Linked DNA regions of Arabidopsis thaliana. The protein of the gene in region 1 purifies or fractionates together with the protein of each later gene. This does not show direct contact. Each region holds a gene or a part of one and is shown in the gene's direction. Other genes may lie near its edges.

Evidence for each region.
Region 2: the proteins of AT5G45410 (region 1) and AT2G44530 purify together in Arabidopsis thaliana (affinity purification with mass spectrometry, with the first as the bait; one large-scale study listed by BioGRID). This does not show direct contact.
Region 3: the proteins of AT5G45410 (region 1) and AT3G10860 purify together in Arabidopsis thaliana (affinity purification with mass spectrometry, with the first as the bait; one large-scale study listed by BioGRID). This does not show direct contact.
Region 4: the proteins of AT5G45410 (region 1) and PSAE-2 purify together in Arabidopsis thaliana (affinity purification with mass spectrometry, with the first as the bait; one large-scale study listed by BioGRID). This does not show direct contact.

What each region holds. Positions count from the first base shown.
Region 1 is NC_003076.8:18,400,076-18,408,028, reverse strand, and holds AT5G45410 (zinc finger B-box protein), read left to right. Parts: upstream 1-4,081; 5' UTR 4,082-4,287; exon of another isoform or gene 4,288-4,534; intron 4,535-4,725; 5' UTR 4,726-4,746; coding exon 4,747-4,860; intron 4,861-4,953; coding exon 4,954-5,232; intron 5,233-5,322; coding exon 5,323-5,958; 3' UTR 5,959-6,121; downstream 6,122-7,953. Other genes in the region: maMYB (Duplicated homeodomain-like superfamily protein), read left to right, coding at 1,432-2,361; RPA70C (Replication factor-A protein 1-like protein), read right to left, coding at 6,385-7,953.
Region 2 is NC_003071.7:18,380,328-18,388,919, forward strand, and holds AT2G44530 (Phosphoribosyltransferase family protein), read left to right. Parts: upstream 1-3,187; 5' UTR 3,188-3,404; coding exon 3,405-3,500; intron 3,501-3,634; coding exon 3,635-3,811; intron 3,812-4,038; coding exon 4,039-4,287; intron 4,288-4,557; coding exon 4,558-4,701; intron 4,702-4,808; coding exon 4,809-4,976; intron 4,977-5,047; coding exon 5,048-5,117; intron 5,118-5,197; coding exon 5,198-5,279; intron 5,280-5,368; coding exon 5,369-5,528; intron 5,529-5,608; coding exon 5,609-5,647; 3' UTR 5,648-5,881; downstream 5,882-8,592. Other genes in the region: COX10 (cytochrome c oxidase 10), read left to right, coding at 22-159, 260-393, 515-640, 871-974, 1,064-1,404; AT2G44525 (NADH dehydrogenase ubiquinone 1 alpha subcomplex assembly factor-like protein (DUF498/DUF598)), read left to right, coding at 1,803-1,975, 2,132-2,248, 2,533-2,567, 2,709-2,809, 2,907-2,993; GH9B9 (glycosyl hydrolase 9B9), read right to left, coding at 6,014-6,331, 6,443-6,724, 6,811-7,464, 7,562-7,783.
Region 3 is NC_003074.8:3,394,029-3,401,426, forward strand, and holds AT3G10860 (Cytochrome b-c1 complex, subunit 8 protein), read left to right. Parts: upstream 1-5,546; 5' UTR 5,547-5,786; coding exon 5,787-5,956; intron 5,957-6,437; coding exon 6,438-6,486; 3' UTR 6,487-6,727; intron 6,728-6,783; 3' UTR 6,784-6,898; downstream 6,899-7,398. Other genes in the region: AT3G10845 (RNA-binding (RRM/RBD/RNP motifs) family protein), read left to right, coding at 1-14, 100-173, 248-319, 404-454, 818-906, 1,103-1,160, 1,287-1,336, 1,420-1,537 and 9 more; GLY2 (Metallo-hydrolase/oxidoreductase superfamily protein), read right to left, coding at 3,728-3,802, 3,924-4,100, 4,203-4,316, 4,463-4,541, 4,662-4,823, 5,229-5,351, 5,448-5,494; MES17 (methyl esterase 17), read right to left, coding at 7,200-7,398. UniProt on the Arabidopsis thaliana protein: Component of the ubiquinol-cytochrome c oxidoreductase, a multisubunit transmembrane complex that is part of the mitochondrial electron transport chain which drives oxidative phosphorylation.
Region 4 is NC_003071.7:8,732,613-8,739,628, forward strand, and holds PSAE-2 (photosystem I subunit E-2), read left to right. Parts: upstream 1-4,121; 5' UTR 4,122-4,167; coding exon 4,168-4,434; intron 4,435-4,784; coding exon 4,785-4,850; intron 4,851-4,927; coding exon 4,928-5,032; 3' UTR 5,033-5,155; downstream 5,156-7,016. Other genes in the region: AT2G20250 (uncharacterized protein), read right to left, coding at 1,304-1,551, 1,631-2,456, 2,534-2,591, 2,668-2,773, 2,867-2,953, 3,096-3,218, 3,307-3,453, 3,546-3,623 and 1 more; AT2G20270 (Thioredoxin superfamily protein), read right to left, coding at 5,389-5,465, 5,630-5,656, 5,816-5,971, 6,535-6,608, 6,719-7,005.

The sequences.
Region 1 (7,953 bases):
GGTATCGTACAAATAATGTTATCTAGAACATGTCTTACACAAAGGCATATTAACAATGAAATCCAAATCCAATACTGGCGAAGGTCAAAACCCTAAGAAACCAAACTGCAAAGAGGTACAGAAAGATCCCAATTCATAATCTCTGAGAAACTATCATCATATCTAAAATTCTAGTACCTAATTTCAACTCTGCTGAAGTTTTACCATAAAAACCAACCAACCATAGACTCAATTTATCTCAGATCTGAATGAACGAAGAAATTCACAAACCGAAACGATAACATAAAAAAAAAAAAAAACCCACAAAAAAGCGTAACCCTAAAATTCAATAAAAAAACCAATCCGTATACGTTCAAATCCAAAGTTCTCAGAAACGCGACTCCAATAATAAAAATATACTCAAAGCAAACAAACGAAGAGAGAATCAAAAGCGCATCAGTCAAAACACGAGAAACAAAATAAAAAAAGGCGATCTCGATTTTACCTCAGGAGCCAATAGGCATAAACTCCGTCTCCGACGACGGGAAGAGACTGTATCCAGAGCTTCTCCCTTATCACGACTCCACCGCTTTCTCTCTCTCTCTCTCTCTCTCTCTCTATCTTTCTCTCTCTTTGCCGCGTATTTGTGTGGTTCTCGTGATAATAACAAATTAAACCCTACTTTATAATATCTCAGCTAAAAAGGAATATATTATTAAGCTATTTATTATGGTAGTGTCTGTTGGTGCTAAGCTCGAATCTCCTGCATCTCAACCTACAGTAATTATCCACAGATAAACCGTCGATATTTCATAAATGCCGTCATCTCCAATCTGAACCGTAAGCTTTTATCCTTTATTTAACTTCTCTAGCCTTTGCCTAATATATTCTCCGCTTTCCATTCCAAGTTGTAACAGGTGATAAATGGTTTCCTTGACTTTTCGTACAAGTTTATATATTTTCGTAATAGTGAATTATTGTTTCCTTCCCTTTTTTCTGGCTCCTAAAATTTCCATTTTTCCGTCAACAATATTTTCATTTTATAATATAGTTGCAATATAAAACTAACCAATAAATCGACGTTAAAAAAAAAAAATGTCGTACACAAACGTGTGATTTCTCTGCAATTGCTTCGTTGTTGAACAGAAAGGCTCAAGAGCATGATTAGTGGCACAATCTTCTCTGAGTCCTACTATCTCTATCTGCGATCTCGAGTGTACACGCTTTCCACTAAAATTTAATTAATTAAGGGTTTGCTTACTCTAAAATTAACTAATTAAAATTCGTATAACCAATTTTGTCATATGCTAAATTTTAATATATATGGGCTTTACAATACCCAAAAATCTTCGTATATGGACTTTCAAAAGCCCAAAAACACTTATTTCTGAGATTTTTTTTTCTAAGTTTTATTTATTGTTTCAGCTTCTTCTACAGTGCAACAGAGCAACAATGGATTTTTTCGACGAAGACAGGCCTAGATTCGTTTTCCAATCTCGTCCTTCTTCTTCTCACACGGCGGAGGAAGAAGAAGAAGCTAGAATCCCTAACAAGCTTTTCATTTCAATCTCCGTCTCAATCTCCCTCATCATATTATCTCTCTCCTTCTTCTACTTCGAATCTGAACCTGCCAAATCGCTACTATTATGGCTTTCCCTCTCTTTCCTCGTCGGTCCTTTCGCTCCTAGCTCGCTCACCGGAGGTAAGATTCGCGTCGGTTATGGTCAGATCTTGGAGCCAGAACAGATTCACGATGAGTCATCCACGGATAACGAACGTGAATCCAGGAGGAAATCGGTGAATAAGCGATCTAAAGGTTCGACGAAGAGCGATAATCCGCCGGAAAATGCTTCTGCGGTGACTGAAGTTTCGAGGAAAGTGGTGATTCCGCAGTCTAAGGAGAGTGGATCTGTGAATGAAACTAAAGATTGGACTGCTGAAGAGATCGAGATTTTGAAGAAGCAGTTGATTAAGCATCCAGCTGGTAAACCTGGGAGATGGGAGACGGTGGCTTCAGCGTTCGGAGGAAGATACAAGACAGAGAATGTGATTAAGAAGGCGAAAGAGATAGGTGAGAAGAAAATCTATGAGAGTGATGATTACGCTCAGTTTTTAAAGAATAGGAAAGCTTCAGATCCTAGATTGGTTGATGAAAACGAAGAGAATTCTGGAGCTGGTGGAGATGCGGAAGGTACTAAGGAGATTTGGAGTAATGGAGAAGACATTGCATTGCTCAATGCTTTAAAAGCTTTTCCTAAGGAGGCAGCTATGAGATGGGAGAAGATTGCAGCTGCAGTACCTGGGAAGTCGAAAGCAGCTTGTATGAAGAGAGTTACTGAGCTTAAAAAAGGGTTTCGGAGCTCGAAAACTCCAGCTAATTAACTAGAGGTAATTGATAAACTAGAGTCTTTTGATTGAAAAAGATACTCTTTATTAAGGTAATAAACATGCCACAAGAGCCTTATTCCATTGTAGTTGCTACAACTTTGCTGTATAAGCTTCCTAGGCTTGTTGATATCTCCATTAGTGTGAGTTACACTGAAGATGTTGATTTTTAATCTGGAGAGATTGAGTTGATGAAATGCTGACAATGTATTCTTATGCTGATGTTTTATAGGTTACTTATGAATTAGGTCGCATAACATTATAGGTAAAAAAATTACTGTCTAGAATTGAGAAGGAGATCTTTTGAAAACAGTTAGAGTAAGCTTCTAAGTTGTAACTCTAGTTATCCTACTTATAGAGTCCTGGCTCATGTTCTTGATGTTGGGGTGGCTTGCTTTTTGATCCATGAATGGTTCTATGATTAATCGTTGGTAAAAGTGTGCTGAGCCACTGTGTTTTCCATGTTTCTCAAGTTTAGAATGGAATGAAATGGTTGAACAGAATAATGCCAAAGCCCAAAGGCATACTTTAATTGGTTTGTTAAGCTTAGTACGGAGCATTATAAATTTAATATGGAAAGATTATGTTGATGAAATGCTGATAACATATTCTTTAGCTGATGTTTTATAAGTTACTTATGAATTAGGTTGCTAGTTGCTGAGAGGTCTCGTTTGAGAACAGCTAGGGGAAAGACTCTTGAGGCATATTTTCCATGTTTCTTATATGTCATGTCAAACCCCATCGGTTTTCATGAATGCTTTATGCTAGTTTCCTGCAGCTTCTTTGCTGTCTTTTATATTTGCTAGTTGCTGGTCAAATTTGGTAATGCAATGCTTTGAACAGAATAATGAAAAAGGCATGTTTGGCTAGGAGAAAGATGGCGTCAACTTGACATAGAACTGGTTTAGGTTTATAATACTGGTAATGGTGTCTATCCCTAGTAGAGTTTAATTGGTATAAATTTCCCCCTGTTGCTGAATGATCGGTTCACAAACTACTATAAAATCTTGGAGTCCTCTGTCATGTTAGATTCGATCTTAGGGAAAGTAATATGTCTGCATTTCATGATTTTCTATCTTATTTTGGTAGTCCTTTGAGATGTGCAAAAGAAACCAAATGTATGCTCAAGTATGTGATCAAATAGAGCTATACTCACAAGTTGACATTTACAGAATCGAGTCAAAATAGTCTAAAACTGCTCTAATTTATGTTTACACAATCTTTTACTGACATAAACCTTTTGACGCAGGACATCTGTACGGGATTAAGGCAAATACCAGGAGAGGAAAAACAATTTTGTGTTTGCTGCTTGAGATTATTGCTACAACGCCCAAAGTAGTGAATAGAGTTCTGCAGGAAGTTTCTTTTAGAGAGAAGAAAAGAAAGCATCTCAATATGCCAAAGAATTTAACATAAAGTTATGAGTTCTTCTTTACTTCAAGCTTTGATTCGAATTACAAGACTTGAGCATCTGTGTATCCCCTCCCCAAAGAGCACCTATTTTATTACTAGGGAAATATATAAAAAGACTATATATATTCTTAATCCAAAATTCCAAACTAGAATTTTCATATAATATTCTTAACATTTTTATCACTACAAGTCTTCAACAACAACCGCAAAAGCTACCCCACTAAATCTCAACCGTTGGATCAGATAATTAGTGACGATAAACGGCATGCGATCCATTATTATCCAACACCAAATAGTCTTCGTGGTTCAGTTTCTCCACCGAACACAACCACGTGCTACATTACAGAGTCAACTAAACCGGAAATCACCGGTTTTATAAAAAAGAGTTTCACGGGTTTACCGACTAAACCGGTAACTCTCAATAGAAACTCAAAGCACGTCTGTGTTCACCACACGTTTTATCAAAAGTCTAAGCTACTCTGCAATTCATTTGCCGGCGAAAATTCTCAGGTGATTGATTCTCTCTTTGTTTTTTTCTGATTTATCATATCGATTCTTCATAAAACTGGCATGTATTCGAAAAAGATCTCTTCTCTAGGTTTCACATGATTCAATTTTTTCATTCTATAACAAAATAGATCTTGCGATGCAGATTTTCTGCTGAGTTTTTCATACGAAATTGTTGCGGGATCTCTATTTTCCATTCGAGTTTAGGGTTTCATGGCGGAATTTGATTCATAGTACGTTTAAGTTTAGGGTAATTTTTTTTTTTTGGTTTTTTTTTTTTGCCGAATCCTAAAATTTTCAGAAAATGAAGCTCAAAGCTTGTTTTCGGTTTGATTCGAATGTTGATTTCGATTTTTTATTCTTTGATTTCATCTTGGATTTGTTTATTCTTGAATCAAGTTTTGAGATTTATTCGTTTGATCATCAATTTCAATCTCTCAGGATCATTTGCTCAGCTAAAAAATGGATCAAGAGTGTCCCTTTGCTGCCGAAAGCATAATCCAGAAATGCCCTTTCCTGAGAAACATCAACAAGCCTACCAATTTGTCCTTCTCCTCCTTGAGTTTTCCAATTCCGGTAAGAATTTCTTACCTTTTCGGTTAAAAAAACTATAAATTTTTATGCTATTTGATTCTCTGGTGATGAAGTTTATGTTTCCTTGGATAATAGGTGCAAGGAGGTAAAGGTCCTATTTTTGAAGATGGTCCTGGATTTGATTCAGCATTCAAGCTCTTCCATGGGAAAGATGGTATTGTGCCGCTTTCTGGTTTCGCTGATGATTCTGAAGATGAGGCGGGTCGTCGTGCTCTGCAATTCAATCCACTTGCTGGTAAGGTAGCTACAATAAGCCTATCAGCTTTTGGTCCTGGAGGCCCTTTTGGTTTTGGTCCTTTCTCAGAGAAATGGAAGAAACAACAGAAGAAACCTAAACCTTCCAAAAACCAACAGGTAGGATTTGATAGATTGTGTAAAACTTTAGAATTTTACAAGGAGTTACTGTTTCTGATATCTTTTTGCTTGATTGCTTGCTTATTGTAGTCTGGGGACTCTTCGAAACATGAGGCAGTTGGAGACGAATGGTTAAAAACCGGGAATTGTCCTATCGCCAAGTCTTTTAGAGCTGCAAGCAAAGTCATGCCTCTTATTTCTAAAGCATTAACGCTACCACCTGGTATGAAATATAGATGTCCAGCTCCTATAGTAGCTGCTAGAGCTGCACTTTCGAAGACTGCTTTGGTCAAAAGTCTTCGCCCTCAGCCTTTACCTGAAAAGATGCTTGCAATCGCTCTCATGGGAATGGCTGCAAATGTGCCTCTAGGTGTATGGAGAGAACACACAAAGAAGTTTTCGCCTGCATGGTTTTTGGCTGTCCATGCTGCTGTGCCTTTTATAGCAATGCTTAGGAAATCTGTTCTGATGCCCAAAACAGCCATGGCTTTGACCATTGGAGCTTCGATCTTGGGACAGGTGATTGGGTCAAGAGCTGAGCGTTACCGTCTCAAAGCAGTAGCTGAGAAAATGGTTCCTGTAACCGCTATGGTTTCTGGATACAACCAGAGCCCTGGCGACTCAGGCATTTCTGGGGGACATTGTGGTATAGGGGAGGGAGTGAAGCAGGTTTATTACAATGTAAATATTGGAGAGTCTGCTAAATCAACTGGACTCTGTTATTGAGAGAATGTTCTTATTGATTTCAGAAACTACAAATTACTATGTAAGGATTGGATATTTGTGTGTGAGGGAAGGTTTTTGTAATTCAGTGAATTGTGTAAACCATAACAATGGTGTCGTTTTATCCCTTCAAAATGGGTCTAAATAAAAGGTTAATAATTCCCTCTTTAACCTCTCTTACAATTCAAAAGAAAGTTATTGACTTTACTTCAATCAGAAAACTTAACCTCATCTAGTAATAAAGAGAGTTATACAAAGAAAACAAAAACACAAAAAAAAAAAAAAATAGAAAACAGAAACACTAAAAGACCCACGAAAAATGGAACTGAAGCATCCTAATGTTGTAGATAAGTAAAAACTTAAGACGGTCAAAACAGCATCTGACCATTGTTGATGATAATGATGAGGTGAAATAGTCACTTAAGTTTTTCAGTAGCTGCCTACATGTTGCCTTGGCATACCTCCTCCTGCATTTGTGCCACCCATGTATTGTCCTTGTGGCTCACTCATAAGGGTTGGGCAGTTTGCAGAAACATGGCTGTTGCTGCGACACACGTTGCAGCTAGTAAAACCGCCAAGAGACCTTGCATCACTACTGTACTGATTTCCATATTGACCCACTTGGTTTGCTGCAGGTAATCCAAATTCTCTGCGTGCATCGACTGATGCGGTGTCTCTAGTTCCTGAGGTTCCAACACCGGAATTAAATGCATCAGACCTGTAATTGGAACTCTCTGCCTTTATAGGGAGAGAATTTGCATCTCCTATCTTGAGTTTATCTATTGCCTCTAGCATGAACCTGGTATTTGAAGAATAATTCAGCTTTTCAGCTTTCACAACTGTTGCTTTAACCCGCTGCTCATCGCTGTAAGTTTCTTCTTTAATCTTCAGCTTGAAAATGTACTTAGTAAAAGCGACACTGCGGATGATATCTTCAAATTTCTCCTCATCCTGATTTTCATACTTCACATAATACAAATCTTTTGCAGACATTCCCATTATCTCTTCACCAGCTTCTTGGAATGCAGTTGCCCAGGTTAGGTCTGTATGGTCCTGTAACTGGATCTGTAATATATACCTGTAGTCACATTCATCCACGCATTTGTCACACTTCTCACAACGCCATGTCCCATCTCCGTTATTTGTGACCTTTTTGCTGCATGGACGATCTCCATTCATGATAGGACAAGCCGTATAGCAGAAATTTTCAACCTTCATGAATGAAATGGTGGCACAGACTGTGATCCAGTCCGGCTTCTCTGAGGTCCCTAGCTTCTCGTCCTTGATCTGTGCAATTACCTTGCGAACTTCTTGTCTGCCAACACCGGAAAACTCTCTAGATATGGAGGTAAAATGAGCATTCCTTCCTTCTCTCTCATACCATTGCCTTAATTCTCTGGCTTCAGGGAAATCTGGCTCTATAAAGAATTGACTTGCTCCAATTGTGCTCACTTGCTTCCCGTTGAATTCACCGATCCTGCCCGCTTTCAAAGCAAGAACCGGGAATACCCCAGAATCACAAAGATTTTGCAATTTCTGTCCTTCTGCGTTGCAGAAATTACCCCACATGGTTACCTCAACACTTCGGCCTGACATATCCTTCAACTGAAGAGACCTTTTCTGTACCTCAGTTAAGTTTTTCCGCATAATTGCTACTGTCGGACTGATGGACGAAACAATACCAATTACATCAGTGGTGCTGTTGTTCTCCATGTTTTCAATATCACCTATGTTACGAAAATGGAAATGATAGCGTGGAATGGTACCATCATCTTCACAAGGCTGTATCGTTGATGCAGAGTCCAAATGTATTTCATAATCATTCGGAAGATGATTAAAGTTCTTCTGAGCAGGCTTCAAATTTCCCCTTGAAATCAGATAAACATTACCAACTACAATCTTGTCAAAGAATTGATCAACCGCATCATTAAAACAAGTCACCCGTATTTCTCCACCATCAGCATCAAGAAGATCAAAACTGAACAACTTCCCTTCCCC
Region 2 (8,592 bases), on another chromosome or scaffold:
GTTTGTTTTTTCATTTTCTAGATTTTTGAGATAAGCAATGATTCTAAGATGAAAAGAACGATGCTAAGGCCATTGCCTTCAGGACGTATTAGTGTTCCACACGCTGTTGCATGGGCTACTATTGCTGGTGCTTCTGGTGCTTGTTTGTTGGCCAGCAAGGTGAATGTTTGTTTTTTTATATGTGATTTCTTTGTTTTATGAATGGGTGATTGAGAGATTATGGATCTAAACTTTTGCTTCCACGACAAGGTTATTGCAGACTAATATGTTGGCTGCTGGACTTGCATCTGCCAATCTTGTACTTTATGCGTTTGTTTATACTCCGTTGAAGCAACTTCACCCTATCAATACATGGGTTGGCGCTGTTGTTGGTGCTATCCCACCCTTGCTTGGGTAAATTTTTGTTCCTTTTCTTCTTTATTTTAGCAGATTCTGTTTTGTTGGATACTGCTTTTAATTCAAAATGTAGTCATGGTTCACCAATTCTATGCTTATCTATTTTGTGTGTTGTCAGGTGGGCGGCAGCGTCTGGTCAGATTTCATACAATTCGATGATTCTTCCAGCTGCTCTTTACTTTTGGCAGATACCTCATTTTATGGCCCTTGCACATCTCTGCCGCAATGATTATGCAGCTGGAGGGTAAGACCATATGGTGTCATATGAGATTAGAATGTCTCCTTCCATGTAGTGTTGATCTTGAACTAGTTCAATTTCGTGGAATGATCAGAGTGTCCTAGATAGTGTCACAGCAGTCGACATTTTAGTGGCTAGATAATGAGTTCTTTCCGTTAGAGATAAACATTCGCGAACATTGTTTCCAGCTTCCGCGACCCAACTTCTGATTTTGTTTCTTGGTACCTTGTTTTCAGTTACAAGATGTTGTCACTCTTTGATCCGTCAGGGAAGAGAATAGCAGCAGTGGCTCTAAGGAACTGCTTTTACATGATCCCTCTCGGTTTCATCGCCTATGACTGTGAGTCTTGTAGATTCATCTTTTTTTTGTAGTTTATTGACTGCATTGCTGTATCTGATTTTTGCTGTTCCTTCCAATTTTTGTGACAGGGGGGTTAACCTCAAGTTGGTTTTGCCTCGAATCAACACTTCTCACACTAGCAATCGCTGCAACAGCATTTTCATTCTACCGAGACCGGACCATGCATAAAGCAAGGAAAATGTTCCATGCCAGTCTTCTCTTCCTTCCTGTTTTCATGTCTGGTCTTCTTCTACACCGTGTCTCTAATGATAATCAGCAACAACTCGTAGAAGAAGCCGGATTAACAAATTCTGTATCTGGTGAAGTCAAAACTCAGAGGCGAAAGAAACGTGTGGCTCAACCTCCGGTGGCTTATGCCTCTGCTGCACCGTTTCCTTTCCTCCCAGCTCCTTCCTTCTACTCTCCATGATAACCTTTAAGCAAGCTATTGAATTTTTGGAAACAGAAATTAAAAAAAAAATCTGAAAAGTTCTTAAGTTTAATCTTTGGTTAATAATGAAGTGGAGAACGCATACAAGTTTATGTATTTTTTCTCATCTCCACATAATTGTATTTTTTCTCTAAGTATGTTTCAAATGATACAAAATACATACTTTATCAATTATCTGATCAAATTGATGAATTTTTGAGCTTTGACGTGTTAGGTCTATCTAATAAACGTAGTAACGAATTTGGTTTTGGAAATGAAATCCGATAACCGATGATGGTGTAGAGTTAAACGATTAAACCGGGTTGGTTAAAGGTCTCGAGTCTCGACGGCTGCGGAAATCGGAAAATCACGATTGAGGACTTTGAGCTGCCACGAAGATGGCGATGAGGTTGAAATCAATGGCGACTTTGCCGAAATTGATTCAAAGTATGAGAAAAGAAGTTCCGAAGCATTCTAATCCTGTTTTGCCCTCTCTGAGACGAGCTTTTTCCCTCTATGATCAGATCAATCTCATTGACAATGTTCCTGAAGACCAGCTTCGCTTCCAAGAGTAATCAATTCCAAGCTTTCTCTATTGTTTTTCGTCGTTGATTTTGTTTTTTACCGACTGTGTTTCTGGGTTTGATTTAATGAATGATTAGGGTTTTTGGAATTGGAAATGTATAAATATGTGGTGGTTGATTGATTCTCTTCACTTACTTTGCAGATTTAATGATACGAGTTTCACTGTGAATGGAGTCAAATACGAAGGTAGCTTACTCTGTGTTGGGAATCTGTTAATGTCATGGAGTCCTCGTAAATTTTCAGAGATCACCACTGATAGGTATCTTCTCTCTTCTCAGGCCTTTGATTCTCACCAATGTTCTGTCACAACCTTATATCGATTTGAGCTGATTTTTATGACTGTGTTTGAGTGAAAGTTGTGTGCTTTTGGCAATAGATTGGTTGAAGGTTTTCAATGTTCATTGTCATGAGAGGATTTGACAGCTTTATCAATTTGAAGTGTTTGATAAAACATTTGGTTTATTTTCGACAAGTGTTCTTTTTTTTTTTTGTCATTGAGAGCAATGGCTAAACGTTTGTATATTTCTATTTCCATGGATGCAGCTTGTCTATCTTCCAGACAGTTCGACCTATTCCAGGTAATAATATTTGTGTACCCATGAGTCATCAGTATGAAAATAAAACTGTATTAGTACCTCTGGTTGATTAACTTTTGCTGCATATTAGCTTCAATCTCAGCTCTTATTAGATATTCTAAACTAAATCATCGAATTGTCCAGAGCTCTTGATTGTTGGTTGTGGAAGAGACATTCACCCGGTAACTCCCGAGGTCCGTCAGTTTGTCAAGTCCCTTGGCATGAAACTAGAAACAGTTGATTCTGTAAGTTTCTTAATCCATTTCTACAGGCTTCTTTTCTAGTCCCAAGCTTACTTCATAACTTCTTATTCGCTTATTATATTGATTACTTTTAATTCAGAGAAATGCTGCATCAACGTACAACATTCTGAATGAAGAAGGAAGAGTCGTTGCTGCGGCATTGCTTCCATATGGAGTTACATCCTAAAGAAAACTAACAACTCGAGCTCTGGCTTTCTAAACTGTAAATGGTTTTTGAGACCTTCCGAAAATAAACCGAATTTCATCGGAGTTTTTATTGCGTTTGAGCTATATAACAAACGTTGTAACATGGTGCGACTTTATCTCGCATTTCTCATCCTTCCAAAGATATAATATCTCCAGAGACTATGTTGTATCAATGAATGAGATTTAAAGAATCTGAATTACAGTTATATTTTTAACGGAAATCGTTACGGTTAGTTAAAAACTTAGAAATGAGTTTTTGAGTATATAAAGGAAGAAGAAGAAGAGAGAGTCATTTTCTTGTAGTCAAATTCGTATCTCGCGGGGAAGAAGAAGAAAAGACTGCTTTTTCTCAAAACCCTAAAATCTCTCTCTCCGGATCCATTTCTCGAACATGGCGTCTATTGTTCAACCATCGCCTACTTTCCCGGCGCTAAATCTCCGGCGTTCTTCTCTGATTCGTCCGCCTTCTTCCGTTCGATTTCCTCTTGTAAGTCTCATCTACTTCTCTCACTCTCTCCGACTATTATCTTTCTATTGGTATTTGTACTTTATACGGTCTTCTTCGCTCGAATCTGATGAATCTTGTTCTCGATTGTTTCTGTTGGTTGTGGAATTGAAAAGAAGTGTAACGCGGCGGATCCGTACAAGTTCGACGGCGGAAACTCTGCCGGTTTCCATCTGCTTACTGGCGACACCGTTCCGGCTAGCTTTTCGAGGACACGTTTGGAAGATTCGATTTATCAGAACACCACACGACTTCGTATCTTTTCCGGCACTGCTAATCCTATTTTGGCTCAGGTTCGTTCTTAGCTTTGTTAGTCGTTGGAGTTCTTTGGATTTAATTGCAAGAATTAGTAGCTTGGAACTGAAATTAGTTTAGGAAGAAACTGATATAGACTTCGGAATTAGTAGCTTAAAACTGGAGATTTGTTCAATTGCAAAGATTAGGATTAGGAAGAAATTGGTTTAGAGTATATTCTGGAATCGTCTTGTTTGTTCATTGGTGTTTTACGCTGATGATACAGGAGATTTCTTGCTATTTGGGTCTGGACCTTGGGAAAATCAAGATTAAACGCTTTGCTGATGGTGAGATCTATGTTCAGCTACAAGAGAGTGTAAGGGGATGTGATGTGTTCCTTGTACAGCCTACATGCCCACCTGCAAATGAAAACCTTATGGAATTGCTCGTTATGATTGATGCTTGTCGGAGAGCATCAGCCAAAACTATCACGGCTGTGATTCCTTACTTTGGTTATGCACGAGCTGATAGAAAGGCAAGTCTTTTTCTATAACTATAGAATCTGTCTTGGATTCAATCGTCCTGTGAAAACATGCACAATGATTTGTCTCCAAGAGTAATCGATTGTCAGTTTAAGTCAGATCTATGGTAGTTAGTATTTGGAAGTAATCAAGTAATCAAATTGGCAGCTTAGTTATCTGTATGAAGCTGATTTGGGTTTATCGATTGTCTCATTCCTCTGGCTTCACTTAGTTTCTAGTTGAGAGTTTTTCATTTGACTCTTTCGTTGTACATATTCTTGCAGACTCAAGGACGTGAATCTATTGCAGCCAAGCTTGTGGCCAATTTGATTACACAGTCTGGTGCAGACCGTGTCCTTGCTTGTGATCTTCACTCCGGACAGTCTATGGGCTACTTTGATATTCCAGTCGATCATGTTTATGGCCAGGTAGAAAAAAGTTTTTCTTAAATGACTCCTCTGAGCATCAAGTTCCTTTTTGTGAAAATAGACTTTCTTATGTCTTCTTTTCCTTGTGCTTTAATATTCATGAACAGCCTGTCATACTTGATTACCTAGCAAGTAAGGCCATATCCTCTGAAGATTTGGTGGTAGTTTCACCTGATGTTGGTGGCGTCGCAAGAGCTCGCGCTTTTGCGAAGAAGTTATCTGATGCACCTTTAGCAATAGTTGATAAAAGACGTCATGGGCACAATGTTGCAGAGGTAGAAAAACCTTTGGAAAATACATTTTAACCAAGTCTGGATTTTGACATTTAACAACCCGTTTCATGTAGGTGATGAACTTAATTGGGGATGTTAAAGGGAAAGTAGCCATAATGGTGGATGACATGATTGACACAGCAGGTGAGTAATAAGTCACGGTCTGCATATCTGTAAACATTCCCCATTGTGCTTAGATACTTACGTTAGGTATATCATATCAGGAACCATAAGCAAAGGTGCGGCTCTGTTACACCAAGAAGGAGCAAGAGAAGTATACGCTTGTACCACTCATGCCGTTTTTAGGTAAGTCCATGAAATATTTTCTCTGTGTTGGAATTATAAAAAAAGAGAAAGAAGCTGACATATGCATTTGTGTCTATATTCGGAAACAGCCCTCCTGCAATCAGTCGACTATCGAGCGGACTGTTTCAAGAGGTGATCATAACCAACACGATTCCATTGTCAGAGAAGAACTATTTTCCTCAGCTTACAGTTCTCTCAGTAGCAAACCTTCTTGGGGAGACCATATGGCGTGTTCATGATGATTGCTCGGTGAGTAAAACATAAACACTACTTGCAATTTTCGCTTGAAGAGAACTTCTGTGTCTAATAAAGTTTTTTGATATTCTCAGGGAGCCATTGAGCCATTTTCGACGTTGGGGATTGATTGAGTGATGGAAAAAGGGTAAAGAATGTACTTATAGCCTCTCAGTAGTATGAATTTCTGATAATGTACAAACTCTTTTCCGCTGTAAAAATGTTAGACTTGAGTGTGATTGTCAAGAAGGGAACACTTTTGTAGAGAAGAAGATTTAATGGAACCACGTTTTCAAACTTTTTAAGAATACAATATTTTTTTTTTCGTCAATTTGGATCCAATCATGTAGATAGTTTACCGTTGAAGATTATTTATTTGTGAAATATCTGGATTTTATTTTATTTTATTTAAAGCCAAGTTACATTTAGACCTTAAACCTATGACTTATATAAGATATAAAGCAAACATACTCAAATTTGCAAAACGAGGAGAGACAAAATTAAAAAACGGCGGCCAAGACACCAACAAACGGAGCAACAGTAACCGTCGCAGGCTCAGCTTGCTGGAAATTACTCCTCTCATCTCCATAAACATCGTTCTCGTTGGGTCCTCCGACAAGTGCTCCCATTAAAACGTTAGGGTTTGGTGCAGGATTGTTATACCATTTATCATACCCTCCACTACACGTCACTGGTGTTTTGTCCTTTCTGATCGATACTATGGAGGCTGCTCTATGGTGTGGTTTTTTGGGATAATTGGTCCCAACTCCAACCATGTAGCTCATTTTCTGGGGGTTCGACCCAAGTATATAGTCAACCTATATAACATGAGGAAATCGCAAATTAGTATATATTATATTGAAAAAAGTCTTGATATATTTTCAACAACATGTTTTATAGTTGGTACTATATTAGGTTTTATTAACTACCTGGGAACGAGCGATTTGGAGAAGATCAGAAGCTTGAAGAGCACCTTTGGGACATTGGATGGAGGCTTTTGCCTTTGTGAGATACTTAGAATATGCTGAGAGAACGAAAGAAGCGGTTGTGGTGTATTGGAGGTTGTTCCACGGCAAGAAGTAGAGCAAACCGCCAGGGGTTTTCTTAACGTTGTTGGAACCTTTTTGAGCACAGTTGCAGATAAACTGCTCTGCCATACTCTTGTACTCTGCGATCTTTCCATTGCTCCCTACTTTCCGTTCAAGTGCAAGCTGCATTTGCAAAACTTTGTGTTATGTTTGTTTCTTGCCACATAAGATAGTGATATGTTTTCTTTAGTGAAATAGTCATAACTTACCTTGGCCATCAAGACTTGTGCACCCACGAACTTATCGTCCCAGGCAAAAACACTTCTTGGACCTCCGGTACCAGATGCTTGTGTTAGGTAATTGAGATAAATCTGGTCGTTAGTAGCACGGTGGAGCCAAGCTGCAGCCCACAACAACTCATCTTCGTATCCACTACTCGCGTAGAAGCCACCCGCGTTAGTAATGGAGTTTTGGTAAAGGCCAGGGTGAGCCTTAGCGAATGCAAATAAATCTTTTGCATGACCAATGAGTATATTGGCATAGGCTTTATCAAATGGTGCGAAGGCGATAGACGCTGCCGCCATTGCGGCAGCTGTCTCACCTGCTAGGTCAGAACCTGGATGTTGAGCATCGATGCGGTATGAAGTACGCGGAGTGGTCATATCCTCAGGTCTCATCCAGCATTTGTGGTCCGAGTTTCCCTCACCCACTTGTCCGTACAGGACATTAGGCTGAGGATGGGCTTTAATGAGATAATCGGTGGCCCACTTGAGAGCCCTGAGCGAGTTTCCTTGCTCGTGGTGGGCCCTAAGCTCTGATCCCATCTCTATGTTGCTCCAAGCTAGCATCGTCGTAGTGAACGCTAAAGGAAATCCAAACTTCATATTGTCTCCGGCATCGTAATACCCTCCGGTGAGATCAATCTATTTTTACAATTAGCAAACAGTTTACTTCAAGTAATAAATATTCATTACACAAAAAAATATGGAATAAAAATAAGTAATTGGATATTAAACTTACATGAGCATCAGAACCATCTTTGAGTGCAGAATCTCCTCTCCATGTAACTTTTTGGTTCGGAGGCAATTTTCCAGAACGTTGAGCTTCAAAATACAAAAGACTCTTTTGGAGAGCTTCTGCATAATTTGTAGAAACAGCTCCACGAGCCATCGACATTACTAGTACCACAATGCAAATACTTGTCCATAAGCATTGTGAAGATCCGTTTTTCGATTGAGACATCTTTTTTTGATAAATCTTTAGACGATCTCAAGACCAATTGTACAATAGATTTTACTTTTTGCTTGTGTTTTGGATGTCTATGTCTATGTATGTATTCACTATTTATAGAGAATCTATAAATGATGGAGTCCATGGCTAGTAAAGGACTTGCTCAAAAAAAAAATTAGCTAAAAATGTTGTAATCTGTTATTCAACTAAGAATTAAGAATTTTAGAAGACTTTGGTTTTTCTTTAATATCTCATGTTATTCAAATATTGAGTTCTAAATATCTTTCCAAATCCTAGTTTAGTACTGAACATGAAACTTAGGTAAAATCATTTACACTTTCTTGTTATTCAAATAATCATTTATAAAAGTCATATGAAATCCAATGTTATTCAAAATTTCTTAAATTTCTTAAGAAAGAGTTTCGGAAAGGGTTTTAAGATATTTTTAATCACAATTTTAGTTGAAAATAGAGAAAAATCACATTCTTGATAGGGATGTCAAATGGGCTGATGATCATGTCATAGAACAGTCCAAATTATAATGGTTAGGCTATGATCAAACCCAAAGTCGAAGGAGTCATATAGGCTAGAAACTCATTTACCCTACAAACCAATGGGACTAACTCATCTGGACAGTGACAATCCAATAAGCCTTAAAAATTAGGGTTACTAATTTGAAGATATTTTTTCCTCATTTTTCTTAAAAAACAATAGTTAAAAAGGGGTTGGATTTGGGAAATTTGAAGTTGAAAAACATTCCCCGGAAAATTGATGAGATGTCGACGTTGGTTTAGTTTACATTTTGTGTTAGTTGTCTTTGG
Region 3 (7,398 bases), on another chromosome or scaffold:
AGTTAATTTATGTGGTTTGTTTTCAGTGGCTCTGAGCTACTATCTACTTGGCTGTTGATTTTATTTCTTTTCTTTTCCATTGATCTGCTCTTCTTTTAGGTAAGAGAAATCCGGAAGATGATGATTTGGAGACCAAACCGTTTCTCAAGAAACATAAGGACGAGGAGAAGAAAGTAACGTCGGATCACTCCACTTTTTTTTTTTAATACATACACCACTTATGTATGTATGTATGTGAATGTAACAGGAGGAGACACCGGAAGGACTTGCTGATAGCCTCCAGCACAAGTCTGATCAAGCTAATTTAATCTCTCTCAAGGTTTAATATTGTAATAAGTTTTATTATGTTCAAATTAAGCATCTTGTTCTCCAAAATCTGTTCCAACGGCTACTCGCTTAACAGGAGGAGGAAAGTACTGTGGAAGGACGTGATGACACTCCCGATTTTGTTGAGGTAGCTACCTCTCCTTATGCAATTTTGTTTTGTCCTTTTCGTCATGCTAACACAAACTTCTGCTTGGCTGTTAAATTCAGGAAGCTTCCGTGATAAAAAAATACGCTCTTTATGGGCCGTATCCCTCACCGAGCCCCATTATCACATATCGTCGCTTTCTTCAAAGATGTTGGAGAAGTTGTTCATGTTCGACTTGCTATAAAACGAGATGGTGGGCGTACTGGCTCTGGCTTTGTTGAGTTTGCTTCTCCCTATGAAACAAAAAAAGTGAGACCAGTTTTTTTTTTCTTTGAAAACTTGTGTATAGTTAGTTATATGTTTAAACGTATCCAAGGTTATTTTCTGACGTTTTTTTCACTCTAGGCACTGGAAAAGAAGGATGGAGAATGTTTGCTCGATCGCAAGATTTATCTTAAAGTGCCTAAGCTAAGCTCTTCATTGACTCTTCCTACGTAAGTAAACATGATTTTTCCACGTTTTGTAACTGATTGCTAGACTTTTTGATACAATATCACAGAAGACTAAGGCTTTTCATTTTTTGATTAATTAGGTATTGCATAGATCACCAGGTTTGGTAAGGGAACAAGACTTTTTTTTGAAGTTTTTTTGTATACATGTAGAGATCACTAGCGTTTTCCATTTTTCTAGGTACCAAGACTTCCTTCCACGACAAGAAGATGAGACACCTCCCGCCGATTTTGCTGAGGTACCACCCTACTGCCCTCATTATCTTCAAAACGCTCGAAATGTTTACTTATTTTCTGGGGCTGAATCTTGCTAGCTACTTTTTCCTTGTTTCCTGCTAACACACTTGTTCCTGTATAATGCACAGGAAGTTCTCTTTGTTGCCAATCTCTCCCCCCAAACTAAGATATTAGATATGTAAGTAGCACTCCCACTTTTCTTCTCTGAGCAAAGAAAAAGTAACTCTCCCATCACTCATATTTTACCCTCCACTTTTGCAGCTTCGGTTTCTGTCAAGATGTTGGAGAAGTTGTTAGTGTTCGACTTATTGCAAACCATGAGGACAAGCCTGTGGGCTGTGCCTTTGTTGAGTTTCTTTCTGCCAACGAAGCAAAGAAGGTGAGACTGGTTTTGTAGTCATGATGGACGATTTTAGTATTTTACTAGTCATTTTGAAAATTAGTGTATACAAACTTATGATGAAAAACATACTACTAGTTTTTTGAAAGCTGGATAGCTGATTAAATCTTTTTAATACTGTAGGTGCTGGAAAACAAGAATGGTGAATATTTTCATGGTCATAAGATCATTTTGATGAGAGGACATGGTGAAACTCCCGATTTCGCTGAGGTACCTCTTCTTGTTGTCTTCACAATATGTCAGGCTCAGCAGAAACCTTTAATAATAATAACAGAAATCTTGTGTTTTTTTTTTGTGCAACCTTAAGTCCTTTTCTTCTTTGCGTCGTGCTAACTCACTTGGCTGTTAAACGCAGGCTGTTGCCACAAGTAAAAAAAAGACGCTCTTTGTTGCCCATCTTACTCCCCAGACTATAATATCAGATATGTAAGTAGCACCTTAAGATTTCCTCTTTCGTTATTGGAGCAAGTTTCTCATGACTAATATTTTATCCTCCACTTTTTTACAGCATCGACTAATTGTTAACCACACTGGCAAGCATGTGGGCAAGGGATTTGTTGAGTTTGCTTCTGCTAAGGAAGCAGAGAATGTGAGAGTTGTTTTTCTAGTAATTGATGAAAAGTAATGTATACAAGTCGCAGTCATTTGATTAGTTAAACCGTTTATTTATACTCTAGGCGCTGGAAAAGAAGAAGGGTGAATATTTGCAGGATGGCGAGATTTTTCTTAAGGCGGCTAACATAGCTCCATTCCCTCCACCCAAGTAAATTAATTTTCCATGTTATGGAGATTTGTTGCTGTCAACTTATTGCCACCACAGAAGACTAACACTAATATTATATTTCTTAACTAGGTGGTGCGTAGATCACAAGGTTTGGTAAGGAATTTTCAACTATTTGCATCTTGAGGGTTTGTTATCAAGAGCACATTGGGTGAAGTTTTTGGTATACATGTAGAGATCACAAGGGTTGTTTAATGTTCCAGGTACGAAGACTACCTTGGACAAGAAAGAGATGAGGCAGCAGTGGAAGGACTTGCTGAAACTCCCTATTTTGTTGAGGTACGCGTGTTGTTATCATCTTCAAAATATGTCAGGCTCAGAGGGGAAATGCTCAAGTGTTTGATAACAAAACTGTTACCTCCTTAGAGCCATGCTAACACACTTGGCTGCTAAATACAGGAAGCAAGAAAAAAGACGCTTTTTGTTACCAATCTCCCTCCTAGAACTAGTATACAAAGGATGTAAGTAGCACCTTTAGTTTACTCTTTCGTTCTTGGAGCAAGTTTTTCATGACTGATGTTTTATCCTCTTCATGTTTACAGGTTGTATTTCTTCCAAGACTTTGAAGTTGTTCGTGTTCGACTTATTGTTGACCAATCGGGTAAGCATATGGGCTGTGGCTATTTTGAGTTTGCTTCTGCTAATGAAGCAGAGAAGGTGAGTAGTTTTTATAGCAATGATGAAAACTAGTGTATACTTACTTATATGATGAAATTGTTTTGATGAAATATTTTTATACTGTAGGCGCTGGAACAGAGGAATGGTAAAAGTTTGCGCTATCACAAAATCTTTCTTGAGCTGGCTGAGATAGCTCCATACCCTCTCCAACACATGTACATTGATTTTCCATGTTATTGCTCTAGTTTTGATGTCATAACAGAAGATTAACGTTATCATTTTTTGTTAATTAGGTACAAGCTTGCAGAGAAGCTTTGGTAAGGGATTTTTTAACTACTATTTTGCCTTTAAGAGATTTTTTGTTATCAAAGGCAAATTCGGTGAAGTTTTTCGTATAAATGGGGAGAGATCACAAGGGTTTTTGATACAATGCAGGTACGAAGACAACCTTCTACGAGAATCGAATCTGAAGCAACAGAAGGCAAAATCCAACGGATTCTGCGGTAAGAAGATTACCTTCTCTTACGGGGACGACTGCTAGAAGATGAAGAAGCTCTCTTTTTACGGGGATTAGTGTAGACACTGAAATTATTATCCATAGTAAACTGAAAATTCAAAAAGGGAGTACGGCTTACAGGTCGGTCTGATTTCGGTTTACCAAACCGGTTCACAGTTTCACACAGAATATCAACATTACTGGTTCATACACCTTTTACAGGATCATTCAACACAAGTACACAAAACATAGGCAAGAAGCTCTCCATTTATCATCATCCCCTCCACTGATCCTTCTTGTTCCGAACTTCCCTCATTGTATCAATTGGCGACTTGCAACCGAGTTTCTCCTGGAAAATAACAAAGTTAATCTCGATATACGACAAGAAAGTAAAGATCGATATCAACAGTGATAGCTGATAAAACCGAATCATGAATTGTTCAAGAAGATGAACCAAATGGAGTAATAACCTGTATCTCTGGCTTATCAACACGCATAAATGGATTTGTTTCGAGCTCTTCCTCCAGTGTTGAAGGGATTGTGGGAAGATCTGCTTGGCGCTGTTGACGGGCCCATGCTAACTTCTGTTGTATCTTCCCGTTGTTTGGTTCCACAGTTAGAGCAAATTCCAAGTTCTTAACGGTGTACTGAGAACCATAAGAAATGAATAGCGGATTATTCAGTTTATAGGCATCCATTTTTATGAGTTAAGAACTCAAAAGACATAATGAAGCTGTTGATTTTTTTACCTCATGGCCGCAGTAAACCTGTGTCGGTTTAGGTAATGCAGCCAGAGTCACACACAACGACTGATACATCTGCTCAGCTGTCCCTTCAAAAAACTTCCCACATCCAGCAACAAACTGTATAAAATCAAAGTAAACACAGCTTAATGTTTAACTCATAACTATCTCCATTTAGACATTTACAGAGATAAAAGATCTACGGAGAACATATAGGGTCCATGGTAGGGAAGAACAAGAGGATTCAGCTTAATGTTACCACTTACAAGTGTATCTCCGGTGAACACGGCTGGGTTTTCTCCTTCTTTTCCGTTCACATAATAACTAATGTGACCCTTGGTGTGACTGTAACAAGTAGATATATCAGAGGAATCAGCGATGACAAGAGAAAATGACTGAGTTAAACATCAAGTAGATTAGATGCATCTAAATTCATTGGAAAAAAAAAAAAAAAAAAAAACAAACCAAGGAGTGTGGAGAGCCAATATGTTAATATCCTGACCCAAAGTCAGCTTGTCACCATTATCAACCGCATCAGTGCAACCCTTCACCTTATCCAGAGAACCTCCATATACTTTGATATCAGGAACCAACTGCTTAATCTTCTCGTTTCCACCGGCATGATCCCTTTGATCATATCAAGCCACCAATCAAACAATGAGTGTTAAAATAAAAACGTCGCCTCAAATCCAAATTTCATCGAAGACAAAGGCAACCATCATATGGTACATATATAATAAATCTTGCATCTTCAAGAGGTGAAACATTAATGCAGAAAGTATCAGACTTTAACAAAGAATCAGACTCACGAAGATGAATCTCTAAGTCAGTTGAAACTGATAGTAGGAAAAAGCTAAACACTTGATCAGAAAACTGAGAGATTTAACAATAGACTTGTACTAATGTTAATGTCTAGGACCGGAATCTAGCATATGTCGATATCACTGAGTAATAAGAACCAACAGAGAATCTCGGAGATGAATCAAATAAGATAAGTTACCAGTGACATAGAGAGAAGTGAGGTTTACTTACCAGTGATGATGCGTAGTGAGTACGAACTTGATCTTAGCTTGGTGCTTCTCAGCCGATGCGATCACCTTCTCCGGATCAACTGGATCCACAACCGCCGCGTCTCCGGTGCTCTCATCGATTATCCTGTTTTTTTTTTACGAAGAAAGAATCCTAAACTGATGATGAACCGAGTCAGATTAAGAAGCAACGAAATTGAAGTAGGATATCAAAATGGCTCACAGATAAGAGTAGTTGTCTTGCAGACAAGGAACGTGGAAGATCTTCATCGTCTCCTTAGATCGATCGTCCTTCTCCTCCGGAACACTAGCTGTATCATCATCATCATTTATGTCTGGACTAGTGATTTATCTATTTCGGTTTACTCAAACCGGATCGAACCGAAACAAATCAGGATAAATTTTGCAGCCGGTCATCCGGTTCAATTGTAATTGTAACTGAACCGGAATCGGATAAAAAACATAAGCTTCGTTGAGAATTGTTTATTTTAGGTTTTGGGGGAGATTCGTTCTCGTACTGTGGATTGTTGTTGTTGGGATTATCTGGGAAGAGAAAAAGAAAATGGGGAAGCAGCCGGTGAAATTGAAGGCGGTGGTTTACGCACTTTCTCCGTTTCAGCAGAAGATCATGACCGGTCTCTGGAAGGATCTGCCGGAGAAGATCCACCACAAGGTCTCTGAGAATTGGATCAGCGCCACTCTTCTCGTTACCCCTGTCGTTGGAACCTACTGGTACTCTATCTCTCTTTCTATCTCTCTCATCAATCGATTGGTAAAGGAACCTTTGGATCGAGTTCCGATCTGGTTGATTGTTCTTCGATCTGTGTCATCGGTCTTGTGCGGCGCATATGGATATAGGGTTCTTCGTTTGTGTCATAGGAACAAATGAGAAATGATAGGATTTAAGTTAGTTTGAGATGAGTATTAAGTGGAGTGTAGTATATAGAGACTCTCAGCTAGAAAAAGTCTTCCAGGTATCAAATTAGTATTGTTGATGAACCACTCTGTGGAATTGCATTTCAAGATGTTGAGGATTTAAATGGCTTAGTCGTAATCATTAGCTGATTAGTGTGGTTCTATTAAAACTGTTGAGTTCTTGCTTGTGAAGCTATTAGTTACCTGATCGATCTAAACATTACGGGTGCTGCATATTATGGTCTAGTTTCTAGTCATCTTTTGTGCTTATTCTTTCAAATACACACAATGAATGCAGGTATGCTCAGTATTTCAAGGAACAGGAGAAGCTTGAGCACAGATTCTGAAGCATGAAGTCACTCCTTTTCTACAAGAACCTGACAGTTTGAAGTAATTTCTTTTGTTTCAAGCCTATAAATTTCACAAAAACTCTTGTGGGAATCTTCTGAGTCAGTTTTTCTGAAACTCTTTTGCTAAATAAATGTTTGGGTTTCATGACAATGACTCTTGTTGTTCATCTTTCTTGATATATGGTATGAAAATTGGATTGAATCGAGTAATATATTGATCCCTCAAAACAACTATTAGGCAAAATCAAACGCTGCCTATGTTCCCTTAAGACATCAACTACAAACAACTATTAGGCAAAATCAAACACTGCAAGTCTGCAACCACTCCTACAAGGTTTGTGATGAACAGAGTCGTTGGTTGGACTAGAAATGTTGTCCATTTCATCAAGTACAGTTCAGCGGAGTCATTCTCTTCGTCTAAGGCTTTTGAGGTAACTGTGAAGTTGGTGTCGATACCGGCTAGGACTTTAAGTAGACCTTGGAAGACTGCAAATTAGTGATTTATATAAAACTACACGATTTGCCGAAATTTATTTCACTTTTGTGACGCAAGATAAAATTAAGCAAAACATAATTTATTTCAAAACGATTAATATAAAATACCAAAATGTCACAAAAATCAAAAATAAATAAACACTCCCTCGACAATACTGATCACTTAACCGGTTTTAAAACCAACAAAAGGCAATCCTTTAGTTCTTTAAATAGTTTTAGATAGAACCGACGGAAACGGCAGCTTTGATGAGTAAACCAAAGAGAACAAAAGGGTTAGAGAAGAAAGGAGAATGGTCGCTCTCCAATTCGTAAACTTGGCTAGGTGGCCACCGTCTTATCATCGCGTCTTGCTGCTCCGGTTTCATGACCCGGTCGAGTAACGTCTTGATGTACACGCGCGGCACTTGCTCCTCT
Region 4 (7,016 bases), on another chromosome or scaffold:
TTTTTTTAATGAATATCCTATCTAGTATCTACAAACACTTTAAAGGGTGAAAACATTCCGAAAAGAAAACTTTTTCCAATTGTTAGTTTGTATCAATGTAGACAACGTGGATACATCTCCACGCTTCAATTCTCGTTTCTCTGGTTAGACTTTCACATCATGAACCGGCTTTTATAACCCAAACGGCCATCAAACTTTCAACTATTCAACCAGTTCTTAGAATTTCGGTTCCGTTGCATTAAGTACAAGCTAACTTTTTTGACCCAATTTTGTGTCCCTCTAGTGAAAAACTAAATGTTAGTTTTTGGTTATAGATGTTTGTATTTATGAAAATTAAGAGTATATAACTATAAGAAATAAATACTAACTAACTAATTTGGGCCAGGAAGATGTCAGCAAAAGAGAAGATGGTAATAGTGTGGTACATTCACACGAAGTTGGGTTAAGGGAGACTAGCTGTTCTTGCTGTACTTTTTTTCTTTTTTTCTTTTTTTCACAACTATTCTTCTCTTATTAAAGATTGTTGTGACAAAATTATAAACATTAAAATATCGTTTCAAGTGTCTTGGATCAGTTTTGCAACAGCAAGAAACATATTAAACTGGAGAATTTTATGTTGCAGAGGCTTTAGAAGTTTTATTTTAGGAATCCGAAGCTTCTTGTTTGTGAATATGCATTGTGATCATCTTAATCTAAAGAATTTTTGTCAAATTGTGTAAGCCAAGTAAATATTGTCTCATAAATTAGTCCTTTCGAAAAATCACTTCCGGATACAACTTTAAACACTACAATTTTTCAGCTGACCATACACACAAAAGAATTCATAATTACAAAATTTATTGGGGAGAGACTCAAAGTAATGATAATTGATGTGAAATAAAGTACCATCAAATTAATATGATTAGGGGGAAGCAATTATGAAAGAACCAACCATATATATCTGCATTTACATATTACATTCCTTCCATTATTCATTTTTTTTTTAAATTCCACCTTTCTCAATCTGGTTAGTGATTTTTTTTTTAAATGAGTTCCAACTACTTTGGTAGTTGAGAAGAGTCTAAGAGGTTCATCAAAAAACAGAGAACAGAAACAAAGAAATCGTCAAGAATGGTGACCAATTACTAATGTCCCCATGAATAACTTTGGTATAAAGATTCTTTTAACATCTCAACCATATAATCAGTCTATGTCGGTTTGAATCATATCATTCATCTATCTTCTTCAATCAATTCATCAGTAATGTAGTTCGGACAAGATCTAAAATCATCGATACCTATGTCTTCTAACATAAATGTGTTACTTAAAGGAATGCAGAACAACGACATGCCACACAATCTTCAAAAATCAGTGTGAGTAAGTAAGAGTGATGCTGACCTGTGGCAACCAATCGGTTCGAGTAGTTCTTCTTTTGCTGCCTTAAGCTCATAGCCATTCTATGAATCAATCCAAACTTGAGGTGACTGAAACTGAAAGGGGATCCAATCATGAGACTTAAAACGATTACTCGTTGTAGGACTTGACGCTTCCAACAAATTTGAATTGCTGATGCTGGAAAATGGAAAGGATACTATGTCACATCCAGGGACTTTAAAAGGACAATGATCCACTAGAGAGTTTGAAAGATTACGATAATATGTGTAATCTCTGGTTAAACAATCTGAGCTGTTTGTGTGATGAAATGTCTGGAGCTCTTGGTTTGCAGCAACCACGTCTTCGTCATCAATAATATACCTCTCGAGTTCATCATGCTCAAAATGGCTGGCTTGGTTCGTTGTTGGTAAGAGGAAACTGCCTGAAATGGAATGAGAGAGCAGAGGTAAAGGGTACAGCTCCCTTGTAACCAAATCATGGGATGAAGAATAGTCAGAGCACCATGGATTGTCTGTCAAAGATGAGGATGATGCATTTGGATACGTGATGAGTCTTGTGTGATAACTAAGTGGAAAATCATCTGTCTTTCTGGTGCTTGCGGTTTCAGTATTCCACTCGAGAAGTAATGCAGATGAAGGCTCTCTATGTTCGTGTGATAAGTCCTCTGTGCTGTATCCAATTTCTCCTCTGTGATAATCCATTGAAAAAGGCTTGTAGTTTCTGAAATGGAGGCTAGATATGGGAGAACACTCCAAATTTTCTTCAACAGGAAACGACAGGAACTCCTTCTGTTTCAACAGTGGAGGTCGATAAACTGATTCCTTAGGATATAAGATGGGAAAGCTAATCTCTTCGGAATCTCTTGGGATGAAACTGCTCTGAACGTGAGGATACTGCAGCCTCGGGGTAATGTTATTTTCCAGCCATCCCTGCCAAGATATCAATCTCTCCCTTTCCATATGCAGACTGTGGTCAACTTCTGCATAGCTTTCATGGGACCTCTTAAGAAACTTTGAGCCAGGAGATTCAACAAACGTTCTTCTTTTGACTCTGGCCGTCGTCTCCTTGGAAAACCTAGAAGGCTGAGAAGGAAAAAAAAGTGCTGAGGATTGATCAAGATAAGCAATTGACAAATACTCAGGGATTCTATCAAGCTTACCTGTGTCTCCTCCGTACCAGGGGACAGCCGAGTTAGGAGAACAGAAACTAAATCATGCCTGAAAAATGATTATTTTCTGAGTGCATTATAGAAACAAGTATTAAGATTAGGATAAATTAACAACTATTGTGTACCCGTTTGAGGTAAGCTCAGGGATTTCAGTAAGCCATGTATCTTTGACCCACTGATGCAGTTTCTTTCTCTTCACAGAGAATATATCTCCTTTCTCTTCACTGATTCCTGATAATTCAAACTACAAAATCATATCTCTTAATTGTTAACTAGTATCTTTTGCTTCTTTGATATGTAAGAAGTAGAATATCCAACATCTACCTCCACTTTCAGATCTCAGATTGTCACCACTTGGAACTGTGTACCTATCTCTACTGAATGATGAAGAAGATCTCCCATTACATTTTCCTATAAACAACAGAAATCAGAAGAATGTTTATGGATCACTACTTCCAAAATACCAGTAAGAGATTCTACAGAAGTATCCGGATAAGAGACACGAGATCTTATCATGTGGCACAAACATGCACCAAGAAATCGAAGTAGCAACCTCTATCCCTTTGAGTCAAGTTGGCATGTAACATAGACGACCCACGTCTGGCACTATGAATGGGTGTGGAGAAGCTATAGCTCTTGGATCTACCATTATCGTCGCAGTCCGTTCCTGCACATCCTGGTTTATGAAACAGTATAGATGAAAATCCAGGGGAAAGCCAAGCAAACACTATCATCATCATCATCACAAAGAAAAGCTCAAAAACCTTTGTCTGGTTTGGCTCTGGATTCGAAGGTTTTAGGAATTTGTTGAACTTTATTTGATGGTTTAGAATCAGAAGATTCAGAGCAGTGACCAAAATTAGACTTTAACTTCTTAAAGAATGCAAACTCAGAGGTCTTGGCATCAATCGCTGCAAATAACCAATACCAGGCGATTTTCAATCAAATTCAACATTCTAAGAAACTCTACGCTTATTCACGTGAAGTAGACGCGAACACTTACATCCTCCGGCCTGAGATTCGTTCAAGGGACTCCGATGATCAGCATCGTCGAAACTCACCCTTCTCCTGCGTTTCAAATCTAAACCACCAGAAGGAAACAAAATTAAAACACACACACAAACTCACGGAAATCGAAATATATGTTGTAAGATACCTGAATTTGCTCGAGCGCTCGAAGGATCAGTAAACTTGAATCCGATTTGTGGATCGGTCTTATTTAGGGTTTCGCCAGCTTTCGTTCGCTGATTCCTTCTTCTCATCACCGAGTATCTGAATTCGTTCTACAGAATCGTGGATCAAACGCTGTTATAATCACGAAGGCGATGAAGAATGAGAGATTTCACATCACGCGTCCATGGCGATTCATAAGAATTTGAAATCGGAGAAGATGAGAAATGAATTTTGGCGGCAAAATCAATCAACCCTTATTACAGATTCTTTGCTCTAATTATATATTTCATTTTCTAAGGTTGCCACGTCATCACATTATCCAGACGATACTGATATGTGATCACACGTGTCATATCACAAGTGGTTTAAAACGATTCCTTTTAACCCCAAACAATCTAAAGCTTTGTCCACCTTTTCGGATCACTCACACAACTTCCAACGATCACACACAAATGGCGATGACGTCAGCAGCTACCGGATTTATTCTCACGGCCAACGTCCCGGCGGCAATAGGCGGTGGTTCTTCAAAGAGCACCACCATTGTGTCTTTCTTGCCGATGAGAAGCTTCGGTTCAAGGCTAGTAGTCAGAGCGGCGGAAGATACACCTCCGGCAACCGCCTCGTCGGATAGTTCTTCCACCACCGCTGCTGCTGCTCCGGCGAAAGTTCCGGCCGCTAAGGCTAAACCTCCTCCAATTGGCCCAAAGAGAGGATCCAAGGTACTTATTCATACATAATCTTTGATGCATGTTTATACTTCAAAATTTTGAGTTTATTGATGATAGCCAAGTTTGGATTACAATAAAGTTTCTGGACTATTTAGAATAATTTTGTAAGTATGGGGTCAATGTGAAACTTATATGAAGTTTTTGGACCTCTAGATCAGGATTAAAAGGAACTAACCCTTGTGGTAGAAGAAAATTCAAGCTTAATTAGATGCTAGTAGAGAAGATTGGACTAATATTTGAGCTAAACTGGGTATCATCAATAAGTTCTGGGTCTATTTAGTATACATATTAAGAGTTATAGGGCTACTGTGAAATTTATAAACAATTTTGAGGACTTACAGGTCAAGATTCTAAGGAAAGAATCATACTGGTACAAGAACGTTGGATCAGTTGTGGCCGTTGATCAGGTAATGCATTTACTTTTGAAGTTAACGATCTAACGGTTAGATATCGTTTCATCTTATATTCCGGTCTAAATTGTCAGGACCCGAAGACCCGATATCCGGTTGTGGTCCGGTTCGCCAAGGTGAATTACGCGAATATATCGACCAACAACTACGCATTGGACGAGGTGGAAGAAGTAAAATGAGAGACATGGTTTATCTCTAAACCGGTTCGTCTGTTTGTAATCTTAAACAAAACCGTATGTACCAAAAAGTTAACCAACAATTCATCTTTTATCTTTTACAATCTCAAGATCGATTTCCAAATATGCATTTAGCCACCCAAAAATGATTGCAAATTCCAAGTAGTGTGGATCAAACTCAGCAACTCCGGTTTAGTAACAGAACCCAGCATGACTCATTGACTGTTTTTTGTACGTAGAAAGAAACACAAGATTCTTATTGAAAATCTCTATATAGACAGTAAATTCAAACAGCAAATCATCTCGACTTCAATAAGGAAACATGAAGAATCACCAACCAGTTTCATCTCTAGAAATCTCTAGGTCTGACCGTTTTTTCCATTGGCTTCAGCTAAAATTGCTTCCAGCTCTCCTTTATTGTGCAGCTGCAATGTATCTGTTCAACAATAATGATATGCAGGTCAAGTTACCAGAAAAATCACAAGACATTGAGCAAGATCTTGAGTACTATCTATCTTGGTGCCAAAATACACAAAGACGATCTCAATTACATATTAGAAAAATCTCGGTGTTGAGGTAAGAAAGGAAGAGAGATTGTACCTGAGCAGCCACCAATGTGCTTGCCTCCTGGTCATGAACAAAAACATGATATCAAAATTAGATAAGTGATGGTCATAGCAAATGTAGTGGCTAAGATTTTATCGATAGTTTTGTTTTCAGGCAAAATAATCAAGAAAAATGATCAGAGTATAGTTAGTAACTGGCTTAAATGATGAAACAACTAACCGATGAAAACATTGGGAACAGTGTATTGTCCAGTAATTTTCTCCAACACATTCTGCAGCTGCGACCCTTCTGAACCTGGAAACGCCAAAAACCACCAAAACTTTTGTAAATGTTTCAGACCAATATCATGAGGCAGAGATGTTTTACCCAAAGAAACTAAACAAGACAAGAAAGAACAAATGGTTTTGGAAAGTCACCAAATCTTGACACGAGAAAAGATAACTAAGAAGATAGCAACATAATAGTTTCTAACAAATAGAAGCATACTGTCTAAGATTCAAAGGCAGGAAAGAATCTTCAATTTGAAAAATTTAAGCCATTAGAAGTACTAGCCTACCCGTTGATTCTTCATCAACAAGTCATTGGTCCAAGGAAAACTACAGTGGAAGTAAATTTTTCACATAAACAAGACACAGAATCTCTGAAATGTAAAGCTATCTTAGGCCATTAGAAACCCCCCTAACCATCATCAATCCTCCATCAAAATCTAATCAAAAAACATACAAACCAATTCAAGCAAGCAGCCAAATGAACCAGAAGATAAACAAGAAGAAGTTGGAAACAAGTATTAATTTCATCCAGTCAAAATGCTGAAACATTAGGGCACTTGTAACCAGCTCTTCCTTGATCGATATAAACAATATCACACACATTATCAAAACCAATATAGCAAACTACTCAGACCCATATAGCAAACCAAAGTAAAGAATTGAGCATACCAAGTTGATCCAATTCAACAACCAGTGGCTCAACTTGAAGACTCTTGAACAAGGACTTCACTTGAGACGAGTATCTTCACCACCAAAAAGAACAAACCCAGTAAAAGTATCAATATTGACAAACTAGATCATAAATTAACAAAACCCATTCCTCTAATTGAACCAAAAAGTATAGTGAACCTACGAGCACCAGGTTTTGGAGTAAACAACGACAGGGTTCTCTGCCACAGTCGTTTTAACAGTCTCCTCCAATGTCGATCCAGACGAAGACGATGATGAAGACATAGCCTTAACAGAAGAACAACGGAGTGGTGGCCACGACGCGATTCCGATAACTGTCGGCTTTAGACATCTCCTGAAAGGTAACATGCCCAAGTTTCTGATTCCGCTTAACATGGAGAAAGAGATTGCTGGATTTGAATTTAACGACGTCCATGTCATGTTCGCGAGGTTTACTGTTGCGGCTACCATGGCGATTTCTT